Arabidopsis thaliana: one gene and its partner. The protein of the gene in region 1 interacts with the protein of each later gene in a pairwise test. Each region holds a gene or a part of one and is shown on either strand. Other genes may lie near its edges. The genes, in order: SEP4 and AT5G41920.

What was found.
Region 2: the proteins of SEP4 (region 1) and AT5G41920 interact in binary tests that used the Arabidopsis thaliana proteins (3 or more experiments, as listed by UniProt).

What each region holds. Positions count from the first base shown.
Region 1 is NC_003071.7:1,122,832-1,138,714, forward strand, and holds SEP4 (K-box region and MADS-box transcription factor family protein), read left to right. Parts: upstream 1-6,436; 5' UTR 6,437-6,790; coding exon 6,791-6,975; intron 6,976-7,743; coding exon 7,744-7,825; intron 7,826-7,893; coding exon 7,894-7,955; intron 7,956-8,026; coding exon 8,027-8,126; intron 8,127-8,206; coding exon 8,207-8,248; intron 8,249-8,318; coding exon 8,319-8,360; coding exon of another isoform or gene 8,361-8,411; exon of another isoform or gene 8,412-8,436; coding exon 8,437-8,609; intron 8,610-8,706; coding exon 8,707-8,797; 3' UTR 8,798-9,007; downstream 9,008-15,883. Other genes in the region: AT2G03690 (coenzyme Q biosynthesis Coq4 family protein / ubiquinone biosynthesis Coq4 family protein), read right to left, coding at 1-180; MRH6 (Adenine nucleotide alpha hydrolases-like superfamily protein), read left to right, coding at 9,332-9,653, 9,945-10,033, 10,107-10,394; ACR5 (ACT domain repeat 5), read right to left, coding at 14,989-15,321, 15,415-15,519, 15,612-15,883. UniProt on the Arabidopsis thaliana protein: Probable transcription factor that binds specifically to the CArG box DNA sequence 5'-CC (A/T)6 GG-3'. Plays an important role in the determination of flower meristem identity. Involved in the specification of sepal identity.
Region 2 is NC_003076.8:16,772,841-16,788,723, forward strand, and holds AT5G41920 (GRAS family transcription factor), read left to right. Parts: upstream 1-6,802; 5' UTR 6,803-7,141; coding exon 7,142-8,359; 3' UTR 8,360-8,584; downstream 8,585-15,883. Other genes in the region: AT5G41908 (uncharacterized protein), read left to right, coding at 4,443-4,598; MED10A (Mediator complex, subunit Med10), read right to left, coding at 5,320-5,391, 5,481-5,570, 5,644-5,749, 5,828-5,908, 5,981-6,192; AT5G41940 (Ypt/Rab-GAP domain of gyp1p superfamily protein), read left to right, coding at 9,199-9,416, 10,479-10,614, 10,705-10,754, 11,149-11,202, 11,420-12,611; AT5G41950 (Tetratricopeptide repeat (TPR)-like superfamily protein), read left to right, coding at 12,985-13,496, 13,619-13,738, 13,977-14,046, 14,404-14,517, 14,640-14,723, 14,851-14,901, 15,061-15,090, 15,202-15,264 and 3 more. UniProt on the Arabidopsis thaliana protein: Probable transcription factor involved in plant development.

The DNA of each region.
Region 1 (15,883 bases):
TTCTTCGCTCTTCTTCATTCTCTCAAGAACCATTTCAAAAGCTGGTTTACCGGTAGTTTCGCCGAGAGCAGCGATTAGATCCGCTCTACGAGGATCAACCAACGCACCGAGAGCAGATCCCATCGCCACGGCCGCTTGTTGCCATCGGCTCAACGGAACTCGAGCTCTTTCAATAATCATCGTTCCTTGGTAGATAATCTCTCTGGTTAAAAACCAAACGGCGATTCTAAGAATCAGATTAAAGTCGGTGTGGAAGACGACGACGACGATTTTAAATCACACGCGCTTATGTCCTCGCGTGGACTTTCTTTCTGTTCTCAAGATTTGACTGAAAGTTTTTGAGAGAGATTTCAATTGGGGCCTTTAGTTTATAACTCCATTGTGGCCCATCATTTAATGTTCAAAGAAAAACCGAAAATAAATGACTGAAATATAAGAACTTGGGCCATTGGGTAAAAAAAACTGAGAGATTCCCTAGTCAAATCCAATAAGAAGAGCTTTTGGCCCATAAATATTGTAACTGATATATAGTTATATGTAGTTAATAAAATTGGCAAAAGCCTCCGGCGAGGATCGAACTCGCGGCCTTTCGCTTACGAAGCGAACGCAATACCACTATGCTACAGAGGCATTGATGCTTAATAAGTATATAATGTAATATTTTTATAAAAATTAATTTATATGTACACAAAAAACAACTGAATATTGTAATTATTTTAAAATCTTTTCTAGAGTAACCCATAGAGAGAAAGAAACAAAATTCTAGAGTACACAAAAACAACAATTTATTCTCAAATTTCAATTCTATCTACACAAGAATTCAATTCCACAAGACTAACCTATGTAAGCTAAATACCATAAAAATGGAAACCTCAAATAAAAACAAGAGAGACCAAAAACAGAATTTCATCTCAAATTTAAATTCTCAACATGTACCCGCTTTCTAAAATTTTTCAAAAAACTCACTTTGACGTTTCCCAAACGTTTGTGTTTCCGCGTATTCGCTTCCAATTTCATGCAATCCAGGTGTTAAGTGTATGTATGATAAAAAAAAATTTTTTATCAAACACTATTTATATTAAGTTATCGAAAAGAGATTTTCTGCTAGAGAGAGCCATTAAGGAACCGATGTGCTTATATGGGAGAAAAGGCTATTACGAGCCCGAGCTTTATTAGCTAAATAATCTGGTCGAATATTAGAATTATGAGGAAGAAATCTAATACGAAAAGAAGGGAAAAAACAAACTAAGGAGTGTATGTATGATAATTACCAAACGGTTATGTGTCAATTATGATTTAATCCCGCAACTTGATAGATAATAAGAAAATGATCCTCCAAAATAACAAATTGTCTGCGTCTCTGAAGTCTCAAGTCTCAACTATCAAGTATCTCAATAGTGTGTATCAAAACTTAAAAGGCAGCAGTAATATGTCAACACGTGTCAGTACAGGCACGTGATGTGAGTATGACTGTTTCGTTCAATCGCAACATATGCTAAAATTATAGTTTTTGGAACCAACGTTAGATCGACACGTAGCCTACTCTGTCCCCTTACCATCAACCTGCGTAAGCTTCCCTCATCTTACGTTCTTGATTGTTAGTTAAAAGCAAAACTAAAGATTTGAAGAGTATCTTCAATAAAGTACAATTATAAATGTTAATTAATAAAATTGAATGTTTTACGACTTTTTTGGCCAACTTCTATTCGTGTTACCTCGTATTATGAACTAGGTTAAAGTTACTTTTTCTAATACATATCTTTTAGAATTTTATACTCCATATGATTTCTATTCTCTATCTCACTCTATAGAGTAATCAAAATAATCAAGCGATTCTTCAAATTCATATAACTTAGAAATATTTGATTCGTTTTAAATGGATCTTGATATTTGATAATTAATTAATAAAAAGATTTGATAGATTATTATAACATATATTTTATATTATTGAACACAAAATGATGATGTAAATACTAAGTTAGCGTTTTTTTAATTTGGATTAAGAAACACATACGGACTGAATTAGTGTTTTCTGATATGATAATCTAACAATCATAATCTACTTACGATCATATATTATATAGGCGAACAGCAGCAATTGCATGGGTTGCATATATTATCTATATTATATATAGATTTATTTTTCAGACGGTTTAAAAGTTCTTTTTCAAACAAGAAACATCTAACATGTACTATATTTGCAAAGCCAGAAAGAGCTGTTAAATTGTGAAAGAGATTCCAATAAATACTAGACGCAGAAAGGCAGAAAAAGTTGTTACAAAATCATGTCTCAACATTTTAAAATGCCTATGGTCCATCGAGTAGTAACTAGGGTTTTAGACCATCATGGGGTCTAATTAATGTAGTTTCAATTTGTTAGTCTAATTATACGGAAGAAACCCTGCAAAATGATGTTTGTAACCTATAGCCATTTAACAAAATTTTAATATTTTGGTCTGCAAAATCATATTAAATGATAATCGTACATACAAGGGACCTCTCCCCAACAGAACAAGAGAATTGCTACTAGCTACTAGTTACCCCAAATATATACATACATAAATGAACAGAATTAATAATTGAGTTTCTGAAAATGACTATTGTTTTTTTTTCTTTCGAATTGTACTAATAAAATAGCTTCATGTGGTTCTTGCAAAACTTACCTTTTTTTTATGTCAACCACTCACATTAAATTTAAGAAAAAAAAAATTGGTTATATAAACTGGAGAACAATACTTTACAAATGAATCAACAACGTTCCTAAGTCTAAAAGTATGGATAAATCAAGAATTAATTATGAGTTTACCATTTGTGGCATTTGTAAATTTTTCATAAAATTATAAAAATACGATTAACATGTGTTTTATTCGTTATGTTTGAATTTATTAGGTTTTATGTGTTCTTATAAAGTATGTATTTTAGTATTAAAAATCGTAAATTTAATAATTTTAAATGATCAAAATAGTAAATCCGTAAAATTTTAAGAAAATGGCAAAATTCATAAATGTCACTCCAAAAAATAGTAAAAATCCTTAATAATTTCAGAAAACACTATGTTTCAGAATTGAAAAAAACGAGAAATAAAGACAAGAGAAAAAAAGATACTAAATATATCACACTAGCTCCCATGGAGGAACTTAAAATCGTGAGAAAACATTTTGAAGAAAACTTGTCACTTTCATGCAGGTTAAGTATTATCAACTCTTAGATATATATTTAGCTCATAAATAAACTGACTAGTCTACATTAAACTTTAGTATACAGAGAAAAAAGGAAGATAAATCTCGTATTTTGAAATTTTTGCATCAATCATGCATCTTAAGCCTGATATTAAGATCTGAATTCTTTCAATAGAACGATCCAATTGACATCTTATTTCTAATACATCTAGTTGAACAATAATATTATCTTCTGCAAATATGACTAACTAATACTTGAGCCTTATTCCAAATTTTTCGAAAACAGGACAATAATGTATCATAATTATTTCTTTCTAATTAAGCTTATCATATATAATTATGCATCATTTAATAACTCCTTTTTCTTAAGTGATTACTGATTAGAATGATTAATAATGTATAGACCATCTCTAGGAGTAATTTGTGGAGACGTATAGAAAAATAATTATTATGACTATTAGGTGAGTACCCACGCTATGCGTGGGTTGTTGTTTTGAAAATTGTTTAGAAAAATTATGTTTAACTATTTTTATTGTTAATTTATGTTATTTTTGTGTATGGTATTTTGTAGTTAATAAAGTTATATTCATTTTTTGTAATTATATGTGTATAGTTAGATTCACTTTTGATTCAAATATCAATTATATTCTAATCTTTTTTCACTATCATGAAATACTTACATTAACAATACATGATACAATGGTATGCAATTATGTTTACTTATTTGGTTTGAAAGTTATCTAAATTGATTCTAAGCAAAAAATTCAATCTATGTATTCTCTCCTAATCTAATATTCCAATCATAGGCTCATAGCTAAATATTGGATTGACTTGATTTGAATAACAAATGTATAACTAACTATACTCATTTGCTTTAAAAGATTTCACATGAAAGAGAAAAAAAAAAAGCAAAAATTAAATAGTATTTTAGATCAACATTTTTAGGTTTCTCTCTTTGCATTTGCATATATCTCTATTGGAGAGAGTGTCGTATATTAAATTTTTTAGTATATATAACATCTCAAAAGACCATTACTTAAAAAAATATGTATGTAATTATTAATGTTATCCATTTATCGTAAAGCACAAAAAGACCTTATCATATAGAAAAAAAAAGTAATAATAAGAAAATACTAAGTTAAAATTCTAAACTAATAAAAGTTAGCAAACAAGTAAGTTGCAATACCCGAAAATTTCTACTCGTTATCAAGTAATGACTATTAAAAAATAGCAAAATAAGAAAAGTAAAATGAAAGTAGTGTTTAATACATTAACATGATTTTTCATATTTTTTCTTTTTGATGAAGACATTTAGTTAAGAATGGGATTAATGGGTGATTCAATGCAATGTGATTTTTTTTTTTTTATCACTAAGTTTTGTTATTTTTTAATGATATTAATTTAGAATGACATGTGGCACTCATTGGTGTGATGATGTGTTACTCATATGGAGAGTGTTGGCCAACTTTCATATATATAATTTTATCAGAGATCATTTCTAAACTAGACATTTTAAAGTTGTGTATTATCTACCTAAATTATCCATATAAAAGATGGAATAGCACATTGCAAGTATTATATCGTATTTATTCTTTTTAGATGTTTCCTAAAGCATCAATCTATATGTTGCATGTTGTAAGGTCACAACTTGGAACCATAAAAGAATGGTGGAGGATAGCAAGTGCGTAGAAGATAAGGATCATTTTACATGATAATCTGGATAAGACATGCGCATATACATCAAGTTTCCATCAACAAGATTTATAGTACCCAAAAGAAAGAAAGAAAAAAACTAATATTCCATCGATCTATAGAAGTTGAACAAAATAACTAAGGTACCAAGTGAAATATGAGTCAGCAAGCAAAGTTAAAAAAAAAGTTGTGTGAGACATATCACATGAGTAAATTAACAACAACCATCATCATCATGATGTAGATAGTATAAGATGCCATGAGAAGAAGTGAGGAAAAACAAATTAACCTGACAAGAAGCATCCTAAAAAATTAACCTGTCAAACAATTACCAACCTTTAAAGTGAAAAAAAAAGTTGAAAACACTAAGGCTTTGAGAGCTTAAATGTTCATAAACAATTTTCCTTTTTCTTGCCAAGATCAATCTGCAATTTTTGTGTCAAGCATGTACGAGTTATTGTTATAAATAAATCTAGAGTCGTTATGTGAGTTCTACTGTATTTTATGAAAATCGATTAACTAGTAAAATACATCAGTCTTCTTAAGAAGAGAACCTAAACACGAAACCCTCTAATAAATGCTAGATTGCATATTCTTACACATCTATATTAGTGTCAAAAACATGATTGGACTGATTTTATAGTATTGAACAAGAACGTGACTAAATTTTCAGAAATTGGAAAGAAAACAAAAACATGATATATTTCAATATCTAAATTTCACCATATATATATAAAAAGACATAGTGCATGTGAGACGTAAAAACCTTTGTAAATAAATTTTCTCTTTAAATAGTAAATAGTACCATATCAGATTAACCATTTCAGAGTGACATAATTTGTTTGTAACCGTATAGATCCGTTTTATGCATTAAAACGATCGTGAAGTAGCTGTCATACGAAAGAACTTGTCGGCAAGAGAAGCAAAGCATAAGCAGAAAAAAACATATCTTTTAGAAGCCTATCATTTTCTTACTTTTATTCACAAACACACACAATATACATTATAAGTGTTATCTACATAATCTAAACGTGTCAATACCTGAAAAAACAACAAAACTTTATTTGCACTTCTTTCATTTCATGAACAATACATAACCAGATATTAGATAGGACTTGGACTTGTGAATATGCTCTATTTAAGGCATCTTTATAGGTTATATTTAGAATCTTTTTCTTATTTCTTTTTTGAGCATATTATTAAACTATGGACTAGATCTGATGAAAGAAAGCAATCTATTTATATATTATGGTGTAAATATTATCTTTAAAAAATCCAATGGAGGAGAGTGAAAGAGAAAAGTTGAAGCATTTTGTTTGGACTATAGAGAGAGAGAAAAAAAGATCTTAACTCTCCTTAGAAAAGTACTAGGAATCAATTTTTATTTTCTGCAAAAACAAAAGTGTAAAAGAAAATTAATAATAATATATATTCCCTGATGAAGTAAGACTAAAATAATGTAACTACACAAAAATACTTTTTAGAATTTATAATATTTTATATTAATTTTTAAAAAAGGAAAGTTGATAAGATTGGATATAAGTTTGGAAGCATTTATTTGGCCAAGAATGGCTTAGCATCTCTGCAAAACCAACACAAAGCTATATTCTCTTAAAAATCAGTTCAACAAAAGAAGAACCTGAACACAGTTGGCCCACCACCACCACTACCACAATCTCCTCCTCCACCACCACCACCTAGTCACCGGAAACCAATTCATGCCCTAGATTAAGAACCAGAATCCTTTTGAGACAAGATCTATATATACACTCTACACATTTACTTATACACTTTATCTAGATATAGATGTGTGTGTGTATAAAGGTTCTTTTTCATTACTTGTTGGTTTAGTGATAAAAAGGAGGAGAGTTTTCAGTTGGGTTTTGGTTTCTTGGTGAGAGAAGAGAGAAAAAGAGAGGATGGGAAGAGGGAAAGTTGAGCTGAAGAGGATAGAGAACAAGATCAATAGACAAGTTACTTTTGCAAAGAGAAGAAATGGTTTGCTCAAGAAGGCTTATGAGCTTTCTGTCCTTTGTGATGCTGAGATTGCTCTTCTCATTTTCTCTAACCGTGGCAAGCTCTACGAATTCTGCAGCAGCCCTAGGTGAAAACTCTTTAATCTTTGATATATCTACTTTTTCCCTCAAAGTTTCTATATTTTGATCCATGTTAGGGTTTTGATTCTTAAGGATTATAAAGGATATGAAAACTTTGTTGTCTTTCTTGATTTAGTTACAATTAATTAGTTGATTAACTACGGTTTATTTATTTTGTGAGTTCATACGCATAAATCTGGCTCGTAAAGAGTGAGATTAAGTGAACGATGATCAAAGTACGTACAAAGCGTCTAAGTTGCTCTAGATGATGATTAAAGCTAGAGAGTAGAGACTATGGCTGAAAAAAGTACAGTAGATATGTGTAGAAGCTATAGAGCATATATAAATATAGTTAAAGCTTTTACACATGAGATTGAGTGTTGTTGATATTGTTTCCAAAGGATTGATCAGAGTTTCCAAAGAGACTAAGAATTGACCTCTGGATATATACACAAAGCTGTAAAAGATATAAAAAATACTTTGACTACTTCTTTAAGTTAGTATCTCTCTCAAGTACTACTTATGATCTTATTAAAGTTATAAAGAGACAACTGTGATGATACTCAATTTCACTAGCTACTTATCATTTCCACATAAATTTATTTTATTTTTCTTGCACAAACATCATGAGATTGATACCCATTTTGATGTTCTTGATGTTTTTACATGGAGATGCTTTTAAGGTTTTTTTTCTATATTATTCTCATAATGAAATTTAAAGTTTGGTTTATCAATATATGTTAAAAGTTAAAATGATCATTTGTTTTTATGAAAAGTGGTATGGCGAGGACGGTTGATAAGTATAGAAAACATAGTTATGCAACAATGGATCCAAATCAATCAGCTAAAGACTTGCAGGTACATATCTTCTCTTTCAATCAAAGACTGACCTCAAAGTTGTCCTTAATTTTATTTTAAATTGGCAGGATAAGTATCAAGACTACTTGAAGCTTAAATCAAGAGTTGAGATCCTTCAACATTCACAAAGGTACTTATATATCCTAGTCCATCTAAATGTAACTATATATGCTCTTGTTACTAAATGTTTCTTCTTTTTAGGCATTTGCTAGGTGAAGAGCTATCCGAGATGGATGTGAATGAGCTTGAGCATCTCGAACGCCAAGTAGATGCATCACTAAGACAAATAAGATCTACCAAGGTATATTTCTAAGCTTACAAAATCGACAAATTTTGTTTCGAATCTTTCATCCTAAATCGTTGTTTCGTTTTCATTGCCAGGCTCGGTCTATGCTTGATCAACTATCTGACCTCAAAACTAAGGTACATACTTTATATAATAAAAGTTGCACAATATCCAAATACAACAAGCTCTCATTTTCTCAATTTACAGGAGGAAATGTTATTGGAAACCAATAGAGATCTTAGGAGAAAGGTAGCTATCGGAATCTTTTACCGCAAGAAACTGAAACCATTTGTCATTTGAAATCTTCCTATTCTTTCTTTCTCAGTTGGAGGACAGTGATGCAGCACTTACTCAATCGTTTTGGGGAAGTTCTGCTGCAGAACAACAACAACAACATCAACAACAGCAACAAGGCATGAGCTCTTATCAATCAAACCCTCCAATTCAGGAAGCAGGTTTCTTCAAGCCTCTACAAGGCAATGTAGCATTGCAAATGAGGTATCTACAAACAAATAGTCAAGACCCTTGAATTATTTTACCTAATCAGAAATACTTAACATTTGTTTGTGCTTCTTTATTGTTTTGATATAATTAGCAGTCATTACAATCACAATCCTGCAAATGCAACCAACTCTGCAACAACATCACAGAATGTTAATGGATTCTTCCCTGGATGGATGGTCTGAAAACAATACATATCTATATATGTACACATATGTGTGTTTTATAGATCAAAGATCATTGCTTGTGTCATTTGATTTTTGCCAGAGAAACATAGTTCATTATTACAAAACTTTGTTATATAATCAAGGCTCTAATGTCAAACACCAGATTATTACTTTTTTGTTCTTTGTTTTTTGGCTCTCTTGAAATATAAAATATTGTTTTGGGAGCTTATTTTTGTTTTATTTTTGAACATCATATGAATTTGTTAGATTATGACAAAAGTTCTCCGGATTAGAACATGTCTCAAGAATTGGATTCTGAAACAAGTAGTGCTCTGCATTTGTATTAAGATTGTGATGTTGATAATTAAAACGACTAAATAATTTTTGCCAGGTTGGATTATAATGAACAAGTCCAAAATGTTATTTTAATTTTATTTTCATGGCAAGCACGTTCAAGAAATGGCTCCAACCAAAAACCAAACAAACATAACAGTATTTAAAACACAACTAAAACCTCAAAGAACAGAGAGAAGAAAAACAAGAATTAAGAAAATGGGGAAACCAGCAGGGTATTGGGTAAATAAGATTAGGACATCATTCAAAGGAGGATCATCGTCGAGCAAATCATTAGATGAAGGAAGTACTTCGGGTTCGAGAAAGAACGGTTCGAAGCATAGTAAGAATCTGAAAGCAGAGGATGCTAATAAGAATGGTGAAGGAGGAGGAGTTCAAGCTGAGAGTGGGAGGAAAGTGATGGTTGTTGTGGACACAACTTCACAAACTAAGAATGCTCTTCAATGGGCTTTAACACATTGTGTTCAAGATGAAGATAATATCACTCTTCTCCATGTCACAAGAACACCCGTAGGACAAGGTATATTACTCATATGTTGCATTTACTAGAACCTTTAATATAGAGGTAAAACCATTAGAGCCAAAACTCGAAACCTTGTTATATATCTTGCCTAGAAAACAGGGTGAAGACCGCTTCTTTTGGGTTTTTAGGCGAATCAGACCTTAGATTTGGTTTTGGGCTTTTTTGGGCCCAATGTTGTTTTCTGTGTGGTAGATTTGGTTTTGATTTGAGTATGGACAGGACTATAGCATATTTGACATCTATACCTTATTGAGTCGCTATTAACTAATGTGATCATTGTGTTAATAGCTATAGATGAGACACAAAGGGAGAGAAACTCAAGGGCTCATGAACTAGTTCATCCATTGAAGAATTTTTGTCAACTCAAGAAACCTAACGTAAGCTTTAAGCAACAGCAAACTGATATTGATTCAAAAGTTCTCCTTTGTTGACATTAAGGTTTATTTTCAGGTCAAAACGGAGATAGTGGTGGTTGAAACGGCGGAGGAGAAAGGTAAGACGATAGTGGAGGAATCAAAGAAACAAGGAGCAGGCGTTTTGGTGTTAGGGCAGAGAAAGAGAACCTCGAAGTGGCGCGTGATTTGGAAATGGCGTACGAAGGGAGGAATGGGAGGAGGAGTGGTCGAGTATTGTATTCATAACTCCGATTGTATGGCTATTGCCGTAAGGAAGAAGAGTAACAATGGAGGTTACTTGATCACCACGAAACGTCACAAAGATTTCTGGCTCTTGGCTTAATTTTTATTTCAAACAAATTCATCCCAAAATCTTTTTTTTTTTTTTTTTGTAATCGAAACGAATCTTTTTAAAGAATTCATGTTTTATGGATTAATTGATAATCTGTATTCGTTATAAGACCTTTTCTTATATATGTAAAGACTTCATATTTGTCAATGTTTGTTATTGTGTTCTACCTCAAAGTATAATAGAATAGTAACATTAAGCAAAGCTTTATCAAAAAGAGAGAAATAGTATAAGCAGAGAAAGAAGTCACATAGAGCAACATTATTTCATAAAGTAATATTATTACTTCAACATATAACGGTCATACCCTCCGATATCTCCTCCTCCATTCCCGACTTGAAACCGGTAAACACATGCTTTGGTGACGGCTCCGACGGTAACGACTGTAGTTGTAACGGCGGTTATTGTGAAACTGAGGTTGATACCTATTAGAGTGAGGACAAACAGGACAGTAATAGTTAGGAGACCCATATGATTTGCTTTATCTCTTTTGTTCTTCTACATATTACTATCATAAGCAGAATTATAAGTTATATTTAGTTGTCTTGTATGGGAATAATAGAAGTTACGTTATTGGAACAAAAAATAAGGGGAGGTCAAGATTTGAATGGCTGATTTATTGAAACGCCAGTTCAATTTCCTAGGACGTGACCAAGACTAGAGAATTTATTAATGTAATGTAATTGCATGTTCCCTTCGAAACAACGTTTCGGGTTACTAAGCAAACTTTTAGATATAGACGTCTTGGGAATTTGAATGCTTTTGTTCATAATCAATGAACGACAAAGGATAGTTTGTACTAAGTTAAACCGTTCTGACTTCTCGTAGTGATATATTCAACGGAATATTGTGGTTAGTGCGAACTCATCCGTCAGTAGTCCAATCCATACTATTTTTGGGATGGACAATAAAGCGATGCAGACTTAGTTTAAAGACCGTCTGCAGTTAGTCCGCAACAGTTTTCTTTTATTTTTGGGGGTCCGCATCATTACGGACTATAATTTGTGAATGATAAATAAAAAGCGATCCAATGTATAGACGCTTTTGTCCGCTTAGACAACTGTAAACATTGATATATTCTCTAACTTGTCAGTAGTTTATTCTCTAAAGCCTACATTAATATATATGCCTATTATATAACCTGTAAGTAGTTAAAATAGAATAAATTTTAATTTCACTAATCTCCTAATAATAGGCTAATACACTAATCATTTATTTTTGTAATGTTATTTTTCTGGCAGAGTAAACGAGAAAAAAAAAAAGATAGAGAATGGAGATACACTAATCAAGGTTGAGAAACTATTAATCACTTTAGTATAAGGAAAATAAATCATAACTTTAAGTTGATAAACTTAAAATTTTAACTATTAAAATTTTGGTGCAGCACAAATTAATTAAGCAGTTAAATCGTATTACATAAATTATTTAAAGAGAGTATTTAAAAATAGACCAATATAAATAGGAAATATACTCTAGTGAGCCCAAAAGATGACTAGTTAGTAAGTACAATGCTTTAAGTTATGTTGAAATAATATGTGAATTAATCTTTAATGTTATATATATGGTTTTCTTCTTGATAAAATCATAAGAATAAAACGCTGAAGACATCGTCTAGCCCACAATTGGGTAGACCAAATTCTACTCGATATTGTCAAGATCTAATTTGCAACCAACTCTTCATGCGATACAAATTTTGCTATTACGTTCCTTTTGCATGTACCATTCTTAATTTTAAGTAATGTTTTGTAAGTAAATATTTTTGTTGAACAATTAAATTCATATCTCGAATAGATATCACATGAATATAATAAAAGGCGGACAACTCCGTTGTCAAGTGGATGCTTCTTGGGTAGCAGATGGTAACACATCCGGTCTCGGATTCGTGATCGATACTCCATCAGGAATCTTACTCGGTTCTAGAGGTAAGTCAAGAGCTCTATCCCCCCTTCAGGCTGAACTGGAGGCTCTCACTTGGGCTATGGACTCTGCGTTACATAGAGGTCTTGACTCGGTACACTTTGACACGGATTGCTCGAAGTTGGTGAAAATTATTGAAGAAGAAGATCCGGGACCAATCTTTGAAACAGAAATTGAGTTCTTTAATCTTATCCGTAATCGTTTTTAGATGTTTTTCGATCTCACACTTTTCTAGAACTTTGAATATCCGAACCGATACCCTTGCAAAAGGTGCCCGTTCTCGTGATCTTATCTTCTCCCATGTAAGTTATGAGGTTCCGGAGTGGTTGGTTTTCGCTACCAACTTTTTCGAACCAAACTAATAACATATGGAGTTCTTTTGTGTCAAAAAAAAAAAAAAGAATATAATAAAAGGCCATCAACTTGAAATAGGAATTTTGACTATGAATTTTATCTTCATCATAAACCTCATTACCATTATCAGCATATATCACTATCTTCCTCTTGTCCCATATAGTTTCAAATTGTATAACTTATCATCTAAAATTGGAATCGAGTCTATATTTTTGGTTTGATTGATTGCTCGTTTTACTTAAGTTTCGTGTTTTTTTTGTTGGCCATTCGTCATTTTCAAATTATAATTTAATAATTTAGAATAAGTGACTATTGAACAACAAAACAAGCAAAATAGATAAAGTTTTTATATAACATAACAACAATCATAACGTAACATGGTACATTTGACATATCAAATGAAACCTAGCTACATTGTTATTATTCTTATTACTCAATCATAAAAAAGAAACCTGTGGTAATATTAATCCCACATACTCAAATATTCATTTGTTACGCAGATTTCGAAAATAACCTTTCGGGTTGCTTTCGAAAACTTCCCTGAAAATTCGCCCATCCTTTCCTGGTGCCTTCATGGTCTTCTTGTGGAGGCCCGAACTCATTCCGGAGAATAAACCGGCAATAGCTCCGACGACACCTATGACCGCCATGGCTGTTCCAAGATATGATGACGTGTCTTGTTTCTGGTTATTGTTACGGTCGTTGTCGCTCATTTTGATATACTGATGAGTGACGATTATCAAGATTCTAAGATTTTAGCTTCTTCTTTTTTTAATCTTTCGAGTGTAAGGTCATGTGATTTTTATAGCTGTAGTTGTGATGCCAAACGATTTATTAGATGAATTAAACTCTTTGCTCAATTTACAAGGAGGAAATCTTGATTACGATTTTGTATTAGAATTTATTGCAACAGTTCGGAAACGGTTGGGATTTTCTAGGGAAGAATGTGAATATACATAAACTTCATCGGGAATTTAAGAAATTTACCGTACCTGATCTCTATTAATATCTCCAAAGGTCTTAGAAAAAAAAAAATTCTCCAAAGGTTATATATACGATACAAAAAAAATACGAGAAATTTGTCTTTTTTTTTATAATGGTGGTAGGATGATGATAGTATGACGATAATGATGATGATGTGATAATGATGTTATGATTATGTGGACGCCGATATAATTGATACGTGCATGTCAAATGTCAACTAGCTAGGAATCTAGGAATCTAGGATAGTCCAAATTTGATATGAATGATCAAATTAAGATTTGGTCTGCCTCGTTCTTTTGTGCCTCTTCTGGTTTGTAATCTGGTTACAAAGGGTCTAGCTTGTGTTTGCCCCAAAAAAGAAGGGACCTAGCTTAGCTTGTGTTTGCAACTTTGCATGTGCATATATATTTTATGTATACTCTTAGAAACTAAATTCACAACTACACATGTAACGTCGTTAGATATGGTAATTATATATTTTTTCAAAAAAATCATTTAATTAAACGTAGGTGTTTGGAACAATTGAAACTCTATTTTTCATTATTTATTTATAAAATTTATTAGCAACTTCCACTTTTTTTATTTTATTTTTGTCTCTTATCTGGTTTTCTACTTTGTTTGGGTCAGTCCTTTCATATATATATTTTTTTTTGTCTTTTGGTATTTGTCGGGGCTGCTGGAACATTATTTTATAACAAAACGAGAGAATTATCAATTTAGCCGTCCAAAATTATATGTAAATGATCGTGATGAGGGCAATACATATCACAACAAACAATTTTAAATTGAACTTTTGTTTTAAAATAAGAAAGTTCGTGGGTGCAAGTTTTTCTTAATTTGATTTTCATAAACCATAATAAAAAAATAAAGAAAGTTATGGATACAACGAGTGACACGTGGCAAAAGTCATACTCAAAGGTGTGGCACACCAATCAACAAGGATCATGACCCAATATTTGTTATGACTTTATGCCAAAGTTATCATTATTATATATGCCATCACTCATATTATTATGAGCAATTCCAAAAAATCTATCACATTTTGAAATAGATGTTTCAACAGGACCATGTCAAATGAAATCTAATGAGATTTACCAAACCAGCGATTATAGAAAACGATCGAAAGTGATTGGTAACAAACAATAAATCAAGAAGAATCCATTTTATATACAACCACAAATATAAAAAACCAACATTTACTTACTACACAAGAATCTATACTATAGAACCCTGTAAAAATGAATCTAAACTTTACTTTCCTAAAAGCTTTATCTACATATTCACACAATGTACTATGGTTATTTACAAATAGAGGTAACACCTCTTTCAAGTTTTAAGATCTTATCAACCCGAAATTGACGAAAGATCTCGACTTGAAAACCCCGAAAAGAAACCCTGTTGGTGAATCTTGAGGACTCGGTTTCGCGTCTGTGTTTCCGCCTTTCACTTGAAGTATCGTCTGACCGATGACTTGTCTAATGGATTCTATGGTCTTGGTATCAACTTGGTAGCCAGAAGCGTCCCTCACGTAGAATGTGTTAAGAGCTTTGTCTCCTTTTGTTTTCACTTCAGCTCTTGTTACTGTGAGACTGTTTTCGCGGAAGATTCGAGTCACATCCGAGAGTAACCCGACTCTATCTGAAGTGCAAAGCTCAAGCTTCAACCCCTAAAACACATGGAAACGATATCCATATGTTAAAGCTACAACACACAAAAGTTCTTATGATACTTCTTCAAGCAAATGATAGAGAGTTTTTACCTCAGAGACTCTTCTTTGAATAGCTGCTTTTAGACATTTGATCACTCGCTGTCTTTCTGCCTCGGATTTGACAGGAGATCCATCCGTATGTCTTATGTAGTATTCCTACAAAAACCCGAGAATTCAGATGATGGTACAATATACAATATGTGGATCAACATCAAGAGCTTCTATAGAGCCTAATGATGTATATGTACCTGATAAGCTTGGGGGCCTTCAGCGTCAATGCTAGCATGTGAAACGACATAATTCATATCTGTCAGAGTGAAGACGGTATCGAAAAGAAGCTTCGGTCTGTCTTTACACTTGATCATCACAATGGAGTAATCCAAATCATGCAAATTGGAGACATCCACATCTGGAATTACTCTCCCACATTTATCCTCGTCATCGACATTGTTCTCCCATTCATCATAATCTCTATCTGCAAACATCAATTGATGAAGCTTACGGTCCGTGTGAGTCTCAT
Region 2 (15,883 bases), on another chromosome or scaffold:
GGTATGGTCGGTAATGAAATCCGTATGAAACTTTCCGATGGCTTAGCTTCCGTATCAACATCAAATACACGAAAGTGCCTAAGGAACCTATCAAGAATACATGTTTCGGTAGCGTGTCAGCTCAGTCGAAAAACCACTGACCACCCAAGCCAAGCTCTAACAATGGTATCCAAAACTCAACATATATTTTGTCAATTTGAGGATTGGGAGAAATTATTTAGGTCACGATACCTAGTCGTTGAAAGTCAACTTACTAGTTCGAATTCTGAAACGAAAAAAATATATATTTTGATTTGAACTTCATATGATTCGTGTAAATCACCACATGAGTGTCCTAAATAACTTTACCTCATATTCTTGTTATAAAATTTTTATTTACTCTTCAACAAACGATTCCTCGAAAGATAGCTGCACCAATCCTCGGAAGATACCGGAAACGCGTAACTGTTACATAACGATAGTGAAAATCTTGCAAAATAGCTTATCGATTCCAAAATGCCTCAACATGGTAGGACAAATTAACGTGAAGGGTGTTGTGGATTTTGGTGTCCTTGAAAATGTACATATATCTGTTTTGTATTTCTTGAAGATGCTTTATAATGAATAGCATGTACAAGTTTTGTGAATGTGTTTGAATATTTCTTTGTATTAAAAGATATTTCATATAAATTTGTTTCATATATGATGGTGTTATGCCTAGTATAGGCGAAGTAACCAATGATTATAGTTACCATTAGTTATGATTGTTCGAGTGGCATTTTATATATAGCATTCCTATCTACTTAGATAAATGATAAACTACAATATTAAAGTGTTTGTGATGTCATTTGAAATGGATTTTGAAATTAAAACTTAGAAAAGTGATATCGGAGCATGGTTGGATCATGTGCTCATATAAGTGGAAAAAAAATCAAATGTTGTTCGAGTCAAGATGGGTTACAAACATATCAAAATGCAGATTTTTTTTTTCTTAGGTTCTATTGGATGTTGCCTAAAGATCATTGCGGGGTTGCCAACATAATTCTTAACACACCTACACTAACTTACTTTCTTTCAACTACCCCCTGCGCAACATCTTGGTATTTTTAGTATTAGCCAAATTAAGAATGGCAGTAGCTAGTGGTTCACCAAACTTATGTGTTTTGTCTTTGTTTTTGTCTTCTTTAGCCCGGACCACATTCAATTATTTTTTTTACCACATTTATAAGCATCAATGTTCCTTCAATGGCTTCAAAGAACGTATCAAATACATTGGGAGTTTGAGACATATATCTGGAACAACATAGTACATCTGTATTTTTCCTCAAAAATATGGGGACTAGAAATTTTTGAAAGTAAACTAAGCTATATATCTATAAATTAAAAGAAAGACGATAGAGAGATGCTAGGTAGATAAATGTTTTGAAATAAAACAATAAAGAAAGTGTAGTTGGTTTAAAAACTTAAGCATATATCTTTTCAAGATCGAATGTTATTCCACATTATCCCATTGTATTCACTTGCATGAATAAACACTCGTCGCATCTTAAGGCATATATATATACACATAAGAATTAAATTAATTAATATGCAAAAAAAAAGAGAGAGACAATTAAAGATAATATGAATGGTATATATAGTTTCACCCAAAAAAACATGAATGATGTATAGTGACAAAAACATAACAAATGTACTTGTTACATTAATTATATATAACCGGTGTTGGACAAATGTAAAAACATAACTGAAAGTGTGTTTTAAATAAGATAAATAGTACTACAAGTTAAACATGCAACTATATTTATAAAAGTTAGAAAGATCAAAACGGTTTTTACAAAGTTATCTAGAACAATCATATGAATAAGTTTTTTTTTTTACTTCATCTTTTTTCTTTTCGCTGTAAAGACACATTCGAAACTTTATAGAGTGAGTGAAATAGGATTGATTCTGTAGTTTCACCTTTGTGAATCATACGTTTCCAAAGATATAAAGTAAAAATGCAACAAGAAGAGAATTCACTCAAATTCTATTAAAAGTAATTTTTTGTAAGCATCACCTAAAGCAAAGCATCTGCTTCTCTCTTTTTTTTTTTTTTTTCCTGCAAGCATCTGCTTCTCTTATCCCATTCCACTTGTCCTTCTTTATTCTTCTAATTCTTTCCACTTACATAAATTCAGGTTTTTTGAAACAATAGATAAGTAAATATATAAGGAAATGAAACAAGAAACAACCAAAAATAAAATAATTTAATAATATATTTACGAAAAAGCTGACAAATAAGACTTTATTGAGTATATACATCGATCTTGAATTACGTTTTAACTAGTTTTTCTGTGATTTTGAGCATAATATACATCAAAACTCGGTTTGCTAAGTTTATGAATATTTGTTCTCCGTACATATACATGATACACAAAGTAAGAATCTGCTCTTGTTTTCTTCTAGCTATAAAATTAATTCCGAAGTCAACTATCAACCTCAAACTTGTGTAATTAACCTATACAACCAATTCATCACTTGAGATTAAAAAAGTTCGTAGCAAAACCAAACAAAGTAATCCATTACCATCCATAGAAATTGAAGTTGCTTGAACTTCAAAGAAACAAAGCTAAACCAATTACCACAAAAAGAGAAGATGAATGAAACCAAATCTAACCTGGAGATAGTTTACTCAAAGAAGGAAAGATCGAAGCGATATAATTGAGGGGAATGAAGCCTGGTCCGACGTCATTAACCGTAAAATGATCATTCATGTATAGACTAATGAATAAAGAAGAGACATATATATATAATCAAATATAGATCTAAGTTAAGGGCCTCGTGCCAGACAACATTCCCCTCAAAAGGAAAAGCTTCACTGAAGAACATGGACTCCATATAAGAAAACCCTAGCTTTTAACAGAGAGAGAGAGAGAGATGAGCTTAATTTATAAAGAAATAAAAGCTGAAAGAGGAGGAGACAAGAAAGCAATGATGAAAAGAAGAGAGGGAGGATATTATTAGGAAAAGATTGTGGAAATGTAGGGGGTAAAAAAAACAAAAGCTTAATAAAAAGGCAATTCGAAAAAGATAGAAAAGTCGAAAAGAACAAACATATATTAAAGTCATAATGATAAAAACAATTTGATGACTTATTTCCACCTCTTTTTTTAGTTCATCTTTGAATCTAATAATAATGATTTCACATGTAAATCCGTGAGTCGTCAATATTCTAGCTCTTGGAATAAAATGAACGTAAAACTATCTCGTGTTTTTTTTTTAAAGGAGTCAACTATTTTTTCTTGAATATATTTGATTTTGAATGATTACTAACTAAAACCTTAAAAGTCTATAGTCGTCGGATCGTTTTTATTATAATGACCAAAATTAAGTCAAGGTGTCTAATGAGAAAGTCAAAAGATTAGTTGAGAAAGGACCCAATATAGGTAAATGAATGAAAGATAAAAAAGAAAGAAGAGTGGTGAATTATTAGAACATGATTAGGTTTGGATTTGACGAAGATGTCATTAGAGAGAGAGAGAGAGAAGTGTCTTCACCGTCCTCATTTACTTCATGTGACAATCACATGCCTCCCATCTCTCCCTTACCCACACATACAATAAAGATACTTTCAAATACATAATTTTAAATTAGTATTTGACAAATACACAAATATTCTACATAGGTACAATACATAATAACTAGTAAGAAAGACCGACATTTTTTTTTTTATGAATGAAAATTATTCAGCCAAAGACTACATTTACAAATTACAATTACATGCAACTTTTTGCCAAAGTTTAAAGAGAAGATCAAAGTAAAAACAGATTGAGGTTTAGTTGGTTCGAATGTGTTTTCGTTGATACTTACGTATTTCGGTATCAAGAACACGATTACTAAAACAAATTTTGAAAGCAATGTTAAATACTTTAGAAGGAGTTACGTTTTTGATTTATGAGTATTCTTTCATCTAATATTGCAAAACAAATTCGTTTAACGAAGTCATAGAAAAATTATTTAAAATTGATATACAATAATCTTTTATCTATTTAGGTAATATTCGGAAAATTTTAGATCGAAACTCATACATCTTTTTATCGGAATATCAACTTCGCAACCTTTAGAAAATCCTATGAAACACAAATCTTTAAAAAGTCATAGAAAGCTACCATTAGACCAAAACCACTTGGTTATAGGTTTCTACTTTCTACCACTAAGATATGTAACATTATTACTCTTTGATCATATTCACTAATCATTTCGATTGTCATAACATATATCACCAAAACTCATTTGCGTTTTTAAGTTTTTAATGGAACAGAGGCACACCAAACTCATTTGTGTTTCGAAGTTTTTGCTGTTCATGTTGGAGGTAGACTCAAAGTTCTTCAGGACTTAGCTCACTAGCTGACTCTGCATCCCCAAAAGGTCGCTGTATGGTTTCAGAATAGACGAGCCAGGTCCAACACCAAGCATTACGTTGGATGCCGGTTACGAGTCTCTTGAGCCTCCTCCCTATGGACAGAACCGCGTCCTTCATCTTTCTTTACAACAGCTCACATGGTGTCACTGAAAACTGGTTTTCTGCAGCTGCAGGAGAACCAAGTATTGATATGGAGACTATAAAAGCAGAGCCATAGTGTCTGATTAAACGAAGCAGAGCCATAGTATCTGATTAAACTACAAATCTGTATGATCCCTTGGTAGTTGAAATAGTAAAAGCGTGAAGGAAGTGATCAAAGACATTTATCAAAATGTGTTTGTAAGAATGGTTGAGAAAAGGAAATATATCTTTGAGAGCATGGTTTTCGGTGATGAGAACTATTGGAAATAGTAACACAATGCTTAAACACACAGACCATCAATATATAAATACCACCCTCTAGTTGGAGAGTGGTCAAACAGAAGCCAATCTAAACACGATGCTTGTGTAGTTAACATTACTACAGCTAAAGATAATGAGAAGCTTCCTTTAACCAGAGATAAGACAAAAATTGAAATTGCAACCAACTCAATGCAAAGCCATATCACTTCTTCTTTCGGCAAGAAGATTATCTTATACAGAACCAAGATTAATCGTCCTAGTAAAAAGCAAATCTTATGTCTCTGATAGGAATCTATCACATACTAGGTACAAAACCCATCGATAGAACTAAGAGACTAGTCTATTTGTAACCTATGAGTGACTATTTAACAGCCTCATGAGTCATGACCTCAGAAAGCTAAGGAGAAATTCTCAAACTATATTAGTCAAGTGCAAAAGAACCAACGGATGTTATAGAAATTCCAAGAAGGCTTGTTCGTTTACATCCTCATTGATCTACTTGAAAATTTTATTCTAAAAGGCAAGATTCATAGCTCTTATAGCTCACTCTTGACCTTAGCATCCCCATTTGGTAACACACTTTGCGTTTGAGCCAACCGTTTTGCTTCCTGAATTCAAATGAAAATAAATTTATCACCTTGACTAACTATTGTAGAAACTATCTCAGATGAGAAACAAAGGAACGTCAACAACTTACAGCAGCATAACTAGCACGTATGTCTCTATACCGATCGACTTCATCAGGAAAAGCCTGTTCAAGCTCCTCCAAGAGATGTTTTCTCAAACCCTGTACCAAACAATGTCGACTTTAAAATCATGAGTGGCCAAATTGAGAGAACCAGTAGAGCAAAAGGAGTCACCTTAAAAGCATCACTCTTTCCCTTTGTAACTTGATTTTTAGCAATGCAGTTCTTATTAAGAACATCTTTTGTAAACTCATCTGGGTTCTTCCCATCATCAATCAAGCTACAACAAACAAAGATATATAAACATAAGAGAGCAACAAAAATTCTCTAAAGAGTCTAAAAAGGGACTTGTTCTCACTTAAGAACCTCAATGGGGACTTGAATGTTGCATTTATCAGACAACTTAGCCATATTATCAAGCTCCATCACAAGAGAATTGCTGCAGATAGAGACAAAATTTCAATCACACAATACTCAAAACAATGGATCAATAGAGAAGAAGAAAAGTTACAGGCGTTGGAGGAGGTGAAGCTGAGAAGCAGGTGTGAAAGAAGAGACGGTGAGTTTTAATTGATGAAGGAGTTCTAAAATTTTCTGATTCGAGTTTATAATTTGGTTCAGCTTCTCATTTGAATCGTCGACGGTTGCAATTGCATTGATTTCGGTTTTTATCGAACCGTTGATTTCACCAATTCCGGCGATTGTGTTCTGTGTTTGATCCATCACCGAATAACTAGAAACGCGATTAAAACACACACAAATTAGGGTTTTGAATCACGGAAACATAGAGGTTGAGGGAAACAATTTATGTAGAGATCAATTCCAATTGACACAACTGGATGAAATTTCTGGGAACGATGAAACCCTAGGACCACCGACGAAGAAGAAGAAGAAGAAGAAGAAGTTCAGAGAGCGTACATGGATGGATTTGAGAAGAAGATCACAGGCGCAAAGTCAAAGTGGTCAAAAGAAAATTAACAATCGAGTTTTGAATTTGTTGTAGTCATTAATGGGCCTTTGGGCTTTTATATGGTTTTCAATGGAGTTAAGTCATGTCCATTTACGGTTACTTAAACTAATGGGTCTATTGTTTTGAACTTTTGATTTTAAAAGGTGGAGATGGTTCTGAATCTCTCTGGTTAAGTATCAATCCATGAGACCTTTTTTTTTTTTTTTTGAATGAATGTGTGAAATTATATTCAACTAAAACAACTGTTTTACAAATCAAATTCAACTAAAACAACTGACAAATTAAATCTCTCTGGTTAAGTGGTACATTTTTAATGTCTCTAGTCTCTACACATAAACGATTAACATGAGAGTTCACCAAATCTTTTCCAATTGGGTTTGTTCACTTGGTTTCGTTGGTTTTAATCTTCACAAATAAAAAAATGGTTTTAAGTAAATAGAAAGAAAAAAGAAAAGAAAAAAAGAGTAATCGAAGGAGCTGTAATCTTCACAAAGAGCACTTGATTATAACATTGAATCTTTTGCAAAAAAGATAAAAATCTTTTCAAGAAACTGATCCATCCAAAATACTATCTTGTCTTCACTCTTCAAAATTCCTGTCATTACTCTCTCGAACCCTTTCTCTTTTCGAATCTCCACTTTTTTTTCTATCTTCTGCTTCTTCTTCTTCTCTCTTCAATGATTCCACTCTCACAAAATCTCCATGACTACAAAACGCATAGACAGAGATCTCCCATCTTCCGACGATCCTTCCTCCGCTAAACGCCGTATCGAATTCCCCGAAGAAACACTCGAAAACGACGGTGCTGCCGCAATCAAACTCCTTAGCTTACTCCTCCAATGCGCCGAATACGTAGCTACTGATCATCTCCGTGAAGCTTCAACACTTTTATCCGAAATCTCCGAGATATGTTCTCCGTTCGGTTCCTCGCCGGAGCGAGTCGTCGCTTACTTCGCTCAAGCGCTACAAACGCGCGTGATCAGCTCTTACCTCTCCGGCGCGTGTTCTCCCCTCTCCGAGAAACCACTCACTGTTGTTCAGTCTCAGAAAATCTTCTCCGCCTTGCAGACTTATAACTCCGTTAGTCCTCTGATCAAATTCTCACATTTCACGGCGAATCAAGCCATTTTTCAGGCGCTTGACGGAGAAGATTCCGTTCATATCATCGATCTCGATGTTATGCAAGGTCTTCAATGGCCGGCTCTATTTCACATCCTCGCTTCACGTCCTCGAAAACTCCGATCAATTCGAATCACCGGATTTGGTTCCTCCTCCGATCTACTCGCTTCAACTGGCCGGAGACTCGCCGATTTCGCATCATCGTTAAACCTCCCTTTCGAATTTCATCCAATTGAAGGCATAATCGGAAACCTAATCGATCCGAGCCAACTCGCAACGAGACAAGGAGAAGCTGTGGTGGTTCATTGGATGCAGCACCGGTTATATGATGTTACAGGGAACAATCTCGAGACGTTGGAGATTCTACGGAGGCTGAAACCGAATCTGATCACGGTGGTGGAGCAAGAATTGAGCTACGACGATGGAGGAAGCTTTTTAGGAAGATTCGTGGAGGCTTTGCATTATTATAGCGCGTTGTTTGACGCGCTAGGAGATGGATTGGGTGAAGAGAGTGGTGAGAGATTCACGGTGGAGCAGATTGTTTTGGGGACGGAGATAAGAAACATTGTGGCGCACGGAGGAGGAAGAAGGAAGAGAATGAAGTGGAAAGAAGAACTGAGCCGGGTCGGGTTTAGACCTGTTTCGCTTCGGGGTAACCCGGCGACACAAGCGGGTTTATTGTTGGGTATGTTACCGTGGAATGGATATACTTTGGTTGAAGAGAATGGAACCCTCCGTCTTGGCTGGAAGGATCTCTCGCTTTTGACTGCCTCTGCCTGGAAATCTCAGCCGTTCGATTGATTTTATTTTTATTTTATAATGCAAACTGCAAAGTGATCATTAAGATTTTTTGTTTTGAAAATATTTCCAAACAAATTACGATAATTACGATAAAAAAAAGTCTTCATTGACGCAAAAAGTTGTTGATATTGAGAATGAGAAGGTTGTTGATACTAAAAATGAGAAGGTTCATGTTAGATAACTATATGCATAAGAGAGGTTCTTGTTAGATAACTATATGCATAAGAGAGGTTCATGTTAAATAACTCAATAAGCATAAGAGGTTATGACTATACACATATCTGTTAATAAAGTCAGCTACAACAAATAGAAGGTCTAATATCATAGACGATACCACCATGAAAAATCATCATTTCTCATAGTATTCATGAAAAACATCAAGTGGAATTTTTATGAGACCATCAACTTCTTACATTTAGTGAAACTGGTTTTTAATTTGTTCCTTCAATTCTTAAATCAAATCTAGAATTCATACAACTTGAGATTCTTAGAAAATTCAGGATACTTGTCTCTTTTTTCTTCTTTTTTTGTACAATTTTAAAAGAAAGATGTAGTGCAAAAGCCAAAAATCGAAAACAAAAACCAAAAACTAACAAAATAAAAATAAAATGACAACCATTCTTTTTTTTGGGGGGGGGGGGGGAGGAGGGGAGGGGGGGAAAGAAGAAAGAATGACCCAACTGTATGAAGGCCCATTAAAAAAGTGGGCCCAATTTCTATAAACGACCTTCGACTTTTTCAATAATCAATTTTCATCCAATTCAACTCAGGAAATTGCTATGATTTTACTCTGAGAATCAGAAGAAGAAATCTCGGTGAGCAAAATCCCTAGTTTTGGGATGATGTTTCCACGACTACGATTGACGAAGGTCTTCTTCTCCCCGATCATCGCCGGGAAATGGATCGTCTTTGCCGACGGTAGCAGCGGCGGCGGCGTTGGTAGAAATGGCTACTACGGTGGATTGTGGTCGTCGGCCGTTATTCCTTCCAATGTTGGTTTAGCTGTCGCTGTCACCGTCATGGCCGTGGCCGTCGCTTTCACCGTCTACTCTCGTAGGTATACACACAAAAACGATCTGATTTATGTTCTAATCGATTTCTTCAAAGCAAAGAAGCAATGCTTGTTCACTACTTAGTTAAGTAGTTATTTGGTATCCATAGATTTGATTGGTTCTTGCTTCTTTGTTACCTCACCAATTCGAGGCTGGATCGTCATGCCTTTAGGTTCGAAGAATTCTCTGTTAGTTAGGTTATTGTGATTGAGTTCTTGGTCCAATGTTAGCTGCTAACTCGTACTTCCACTACCTCTTCTTGTCATGGAACTTGTAAGACTCTCAGGCTGAACATAGTCCTGGCCATATTCTGTATTCATAGACTCTGATGCGTATAATGATTTTGAGGCTCGAAGCACTAAGGCTTTTTATAGTATAATGAGGGAAAATGTAACCAATGTTTAATGTTTACTTTTAGGTTGTTTGCTGGGTTGTCTCTTTTTGTATGACATGCTCTCTTGGTTAGTATTGAACAAACAAAGTGATTCTAGAAGGGTCCTTAGGTGGAAGTCTGAAACTTCATGAACTTTGTATAAACTCCTAAAGGAACTCTCGATAATCAACTCCCCAAGCTTTGTATTTGTGTTTCTTCTTTTGCAATTTTGTCAGATACATAAGCTTTTTGTTGCTAAATCTCTTATCATCGAATTCAGAAATCTGTTTTTGTTGTTATAACTCTTTCTACAACCCAAGCAATGAAGCTATTTTGTTTAAGTTCTGCATCATAAATATGCATACCATGAAGAGTTGGATCGAATAATTGCAGCCTGATATGATCTTTTGTCTTCTGGTCCTTATTCTAATTCTTGGCATCTCTTGGACTGTTTCTGTATGTAGTGATGAAGTGGTTAAGAGTCTTAGGTCTTCTGATGTGTGATAGAACTCCATTGATACTTTCAATTATTTTTAACATATATGAATATAGGACATAACATGTACCATTTAGCCTGTCTTATTTGTTCAAAGAAAGCTTTTTATCACTACATTTGGTTTGGTTTTATGTAATTTTTTTTCTTTCTAAACTTACTGGACGAAGTTGCTCATTTTCTGCTCATCTACTTCTTCAGAGGAAGCATTGGATCACCGTGGTCACTAAGGAGAAGAAAGCGAGTTCTTCAACCTAAACAATGGAATGCTTTTTTCACAGAGGAAGGGCGACTCAGTGATGGAGGTGTCAAATTTCTGAAGAAAGTTCGTAGTGGGGTATGTTGCTAAATAAGAAAAAAATCTGCTGTAATCTGCAGTTGATAACCTTTTGACACTTTGATATACTAATTTTTATTTTTGTTTCAGGGTGTACATCCAAGCATCAGACCAGAAGTTTGGCCGTTCCTTCTTGGAGTGTAAGAATCAGCATCTTGTCACTTTTCCTTGTTTTTTGTATACTTTTATGAGTTTTATCTTTTTCGGCTACCATTGGGGGTTTTCTGTTCGGCCTTATGTTCATACTCATGCATGGTCTATTGATATTAGCTTTTTCTTTGGGGATATTGATGTTATGTAGGTTTAAGGTTGAATAAACAGTGCATCAGTAAAGCATTCATTAACTAGGAGATCAGAGAGTTGCCTTAATGTTTTTCTATCAAGAGATTTATAAGATTAGTCCTAGTTTCGCCATACCAAACTCCACCAGCCGTCGCCCTACATTCCATTAACTTGATAATGAAACCTGTGCAAGTTATTTGTAGTCTTTATCATCTCGACACATTGTAACCTTATGCTACTTACCTCTCACAGGTATGACTTAAAGAGCAACAAAGAAGAAAGAGACTCCATTCGACAGCTGAAACTGTATGTTTGCTTATACTTATTGAGAGTTTAATGGCTTCTCAACTTTCTACCAAATGTTACGTTTCCCATTTATCTCTGTTCTCCTAGGTGGCAGCTGGTTATTAACTTGCTCAATGTGTTGATAAAACTAGGAATAAGAAGTAGTAGTTTGGAACTCCTACACTGAGATTTCGAGTCAGTTTGTAAGTAACGTCTTTTATATCTGTAAATCCTGCAGGACGGAATATGAAAACCTGCGGAGACAGTGTCGCGAGATTCATGAACGCTATGAAAATGTCTGCGACTCAAAGGAGACAGCTCAGAGCAGCAACACTGAAGACAGTCAGGTTCTTGAATCCCATGATATTGAGGAAGTCGAGAGTTCCACAAGAACCATCACCGTAGATGAATCAGAGAAGTTGAATTCTGAATCGATTATGCAGGATGAGAACTGTGAAAAGAGCGATGTCACCACAGAAGATGCTGCTGGTAATGATTCAGACTCAACCAATCCTGAAGAAACCGAGACTTCACCTTTTCTAGCTAACGAAGAAGTAGAAAGCCACAATACTGTTAACCAAGAAAAAGAAATTTCGTCTCCATCATCAAAGCCAAAATCTCAGGCAGCGGACGAGGATTTCATGTCAACTTGGCAGAGAATTATCCGCCTAGATGCTGTGAGAGCAAATGACGAATGGGTGCCCTACTCACCAACTCAAGCTGCTGTTTCTGAGACAAAAGCCCGGGGAATAGCCATTCAGGTTGGTCTCAATGACTATGACCACTTGGAACCCTGCCGGATATTTCACGCAGCCCGCCTGGTCGGGATCCTTGAAGCCTACGCAGTCTATGATCCAGAAATTGGTTACTGTCAAGGAATGAGCGACTTACTATCTCCTTTAATCGCAGTGATGGAAGACGACGTCTTAGCATTCTGGTGCTTTGTTGGCTTCATGAGTAAAGCACGGCATAATTTCCGGTTAGACGAGGTTGGAATCAGGCGGCAACTCTCAATGGTATCGAAAATCATAAAATTCAAAGACATTCACTTGTACCGACACTTGGAGAACCTTGAAGCAGAAGACTGCTTCTTTGTATACCGTATGGTTGTAGTTCTGTTCAGACGAGAACTAACCTTTGAGCAGACGTTGTGTCTCTGGGAAGTAATGTGGGCGGATCAAGCTGCAATACGAACTGGGATTGCGAAGGCGACATGGGGGAGAATCCGGTTACGAGCACCACCGACAGAAGATTTGTTGCTTTACGCGATAGCTGCAAGCGTGCTGCAGAGGAGGAAGACGATAATAGAGAAATACAGTGGGATGGATGAGATAATGAAGGAATGTAACAGCATGGCTGGTCATCTTGATGTTTGGAAACTTCTAGACGATGCTCATGACTTAGTCGTCAATCTTCACGACAAGATCTAAGACTACTTATATCTTTCACTCTTGTTCTCTCTCTTTACTTGTTTGTTGCATTCTTTGTTATTTGTTACATAAAATGTGATAAAAACCGTTGTCCTAAAACGCATGAAAATGTCTTCACTATTGCTAAAATTAAATGTAGAAAAACTTAGCCAAACGAGAACCCGCTGAGGCTAAAAGAAGGACTTGACTTTATTTGGTTTTAAGAGCCTCTGGTTGAGCTAGAGGTGTATAACTGTAACAAACTAACTATTCTTCGTTTTCAATTTCCAGATACATCAGATCTCTTCTTCATCTTCTTCCTCTTGGGAGACTTGATTTATTTTGTGATCAGTCTCGGATTGTAACATACTGCGATCTTTTTTCAGCTTCTCTAATGGCGGATACTGTTGAAGAGCCTCAATTACAAAATGGAGCGGCACCAGCTGAGTCCGAAACCGAGCAAAATCCGATTCCGGAACCACAACTCCAAACTGAGCCCAAACTAACCGGAGAAATTCCGGAAATAGAAGCGGATTTAACGCCGGAGGAAGTACAATCGGAGGTAACGGATGCAAAGCCAGAGGAAGTACAATCTGAGGTAAAGCCGGAGGAAGTAAAAACTGTGGTAACCGATGCGAAACCGGAGGAAGCACAATCTGAGGTGAAGCCGGAGGAGGTACAATCTGTGGTAACCGATACGAAACCGGATTTAACCGATGTGGATCTGTCTCCGGGAGGATCTGAGGAGATCCCGATCCGGTCGACGGAGGTTGAACAGGAATCTACTACTTCTGTTCTGAAGAAAGATGATGATGGGAACAAGACATTTACCATGAGAGAGCTTCTTAGTGAATTAAAAAGCGAGGAAGGAGATGGCACTCCTCACAGTTCTGCTTCTCCATTTAGGTTCCTTCTCTCTTTCTCTTTAGTTTCAGCTGATTTGAGTTGAATTTCATAATTTGATCATGTAACTAGTCTTTGGAATTTGGTTTCACTTTGTTTGTGCTTTATCTTATGATTTTGCTCAGTCGAGAAAGTGCTTCTCAACCAGCGGAGAACAATCCTGCAATGGATCTGATTAACAGGATCCAAGTTAACGACGAAGAGGGTCGATCTCGCCAACGTGTTCTTGCATTTGCTGCCCGCAAGTATGTAACGATTTTGATCTCCTGATTGCATTCATAAAATTTGTTGCTTTGTATCAATGTTAGTTGATTGACCAATGAATTAGATTGTTGTTTTTTTGTTTGGAACTTATACCCTTATAGGCAGGATTGATAGATACAGAGATTTAGTAAACTAGTTTCATTATTGCTCATTGGAAGGTTTGATATTTTATGTTTTTGCTGTTTCGGGCGGTGAAGTTATACGCTGCAACTTTTGTAGGTATGCAAGTGCGATAGAGAGAAATCCAGATGATCATGATGCATTATACAACTGGGCACTTATTCTCCAGGTTTGGTTTCTTTTCGTTATTATTTAGCACTTCTCTCTTTCAATCCCTTTCTTGGTCTCTCTTATATGTGACTGGCTTTAGTTGGACGTATTCATATGGAAATAATTAACGAGATGGATTTGATTTTGCTTATTACTTGCTTGCAAGTGTTGTTTAAACTGTTGAAGGAAAGAATTGAAAGACACTGAAATAAGAAGCTAAAACATACATCCAAAATTCATTAAACACTGGGAATGAAATAAGAGTCTTTCTGTAAGAGCTTAGAAGTGTCTTTCTTTGGGGACATTAGAACTTTTTTCGTTCGTATGCTTACTGGGAATAATACTGAATTCATCATTTGCCATACTTTCTCCACAGGAAAGTGCTGATAATGTCAGCCCGGATTCTGTTTCACCTTCTAAAGATGATTTGCTGGAGGAAGCTTGTAAGAAGTACGATGAGGCAACCCGTCTCTGCCCGACGCTGTATGATGTATGTATTAATAGGATTCTATATCTGTTAGTTTTGTTTCTGGTTTATGTAACTGCAAATGCAATGTAATCGCTTTCAGTTCATAATAAATGGCTTCAACTTTTATGTATGACGTATGATAGGCTTACTACAACTGGGCTATTGCAATCTCTGATAGAGCAAAGATACGTGGTCGCACAAAGGAAGCTGAAGAACTATGGGAACAAGTAAGTAGCTTTGCATGTTATGAGGACTGACCTGACCTTATCCTGCTAATTGTGAAAACTAAAATTATCGTAGTTTGATCTTAACTTCTAATTCTAAAGAAGTATGTGTTTGACATTCTGATTTCAGGCGGCTGATAACTATGAAAAAGCTGTCCAGCTCAATTGGAACAGTTCCCAGGTATGGTCCTTCATCTATGTCATCTGATATACGAACTTCACAATACCGTCTCATCAGAACCAGACCTTTGTCACTATATGATGTCCTTTTTAAGCCTGTGTCGTCAATTTGTAGTCTTTTGATTATCTGACATATGATTTAAATTATCAACTTCTGCAGGCGTTAAACAACTGGGGACTGGTCCTACAGGTAACTGACTGACATGTGTTTATCTCCATGATATGTTGTGACATAAAAATGTGTTTTTGTAAAAATTAAGATGCTAAAAAACTTAGAATATTCCCTGGGTTTTGTCATTAGGAACTCAGTCAAATCGTTCCTGCTAGGGAGAAGGAAAAAGTTGTCAGAACTGCCATTAGTAAGGTGCTTATTCGTCTGTCGAACTAATGTAAACATTGCATTTGATATGCACGATTGATTTTTTACTGTCCCTTGTCGCTTGTTTTACCATACAGTTTCGGGCGGCAATCAGGTTGCAATTTGATTTCCATCGAGCCATATACAACCTTGGAACCGTTCTGGTCAGTTTCAATCTTTTCACATAACTCTTTACATGCAGGATTGTAATTCCAATCCAGTTAATTAACCACTGTGGATTTTTCTCACATTTACAGTATGGATTAGCAGAAGACACACTTAGAACTGGGGGTTCAGGCAACGGCAAAGACATGCCCCCTGGTGAGTTATACAGCCAGTCTGCCATCTACATTGCTGCAGCGCATTCATTGAAGCCAAGTTACTCAGTAAGCTTATTATCTCCATTTTGTACTGGAATCAAGATGTTTGAATCATACTTGTATAAAATAAGATTGAATGCCAGACTAAGATTCATCGCTTCAACATCTTTGGGTTAGGCTGATCCTTTTCCTGGTCCAGGTTTACAGCAGCGCTTTGAGGCTTGTTCGTTCCATGGTACATTCCATTCACTTTAAACAATCAAGTTGTTTTCTTGTGGAAATGACCAAAAAATAAATTGAATTTG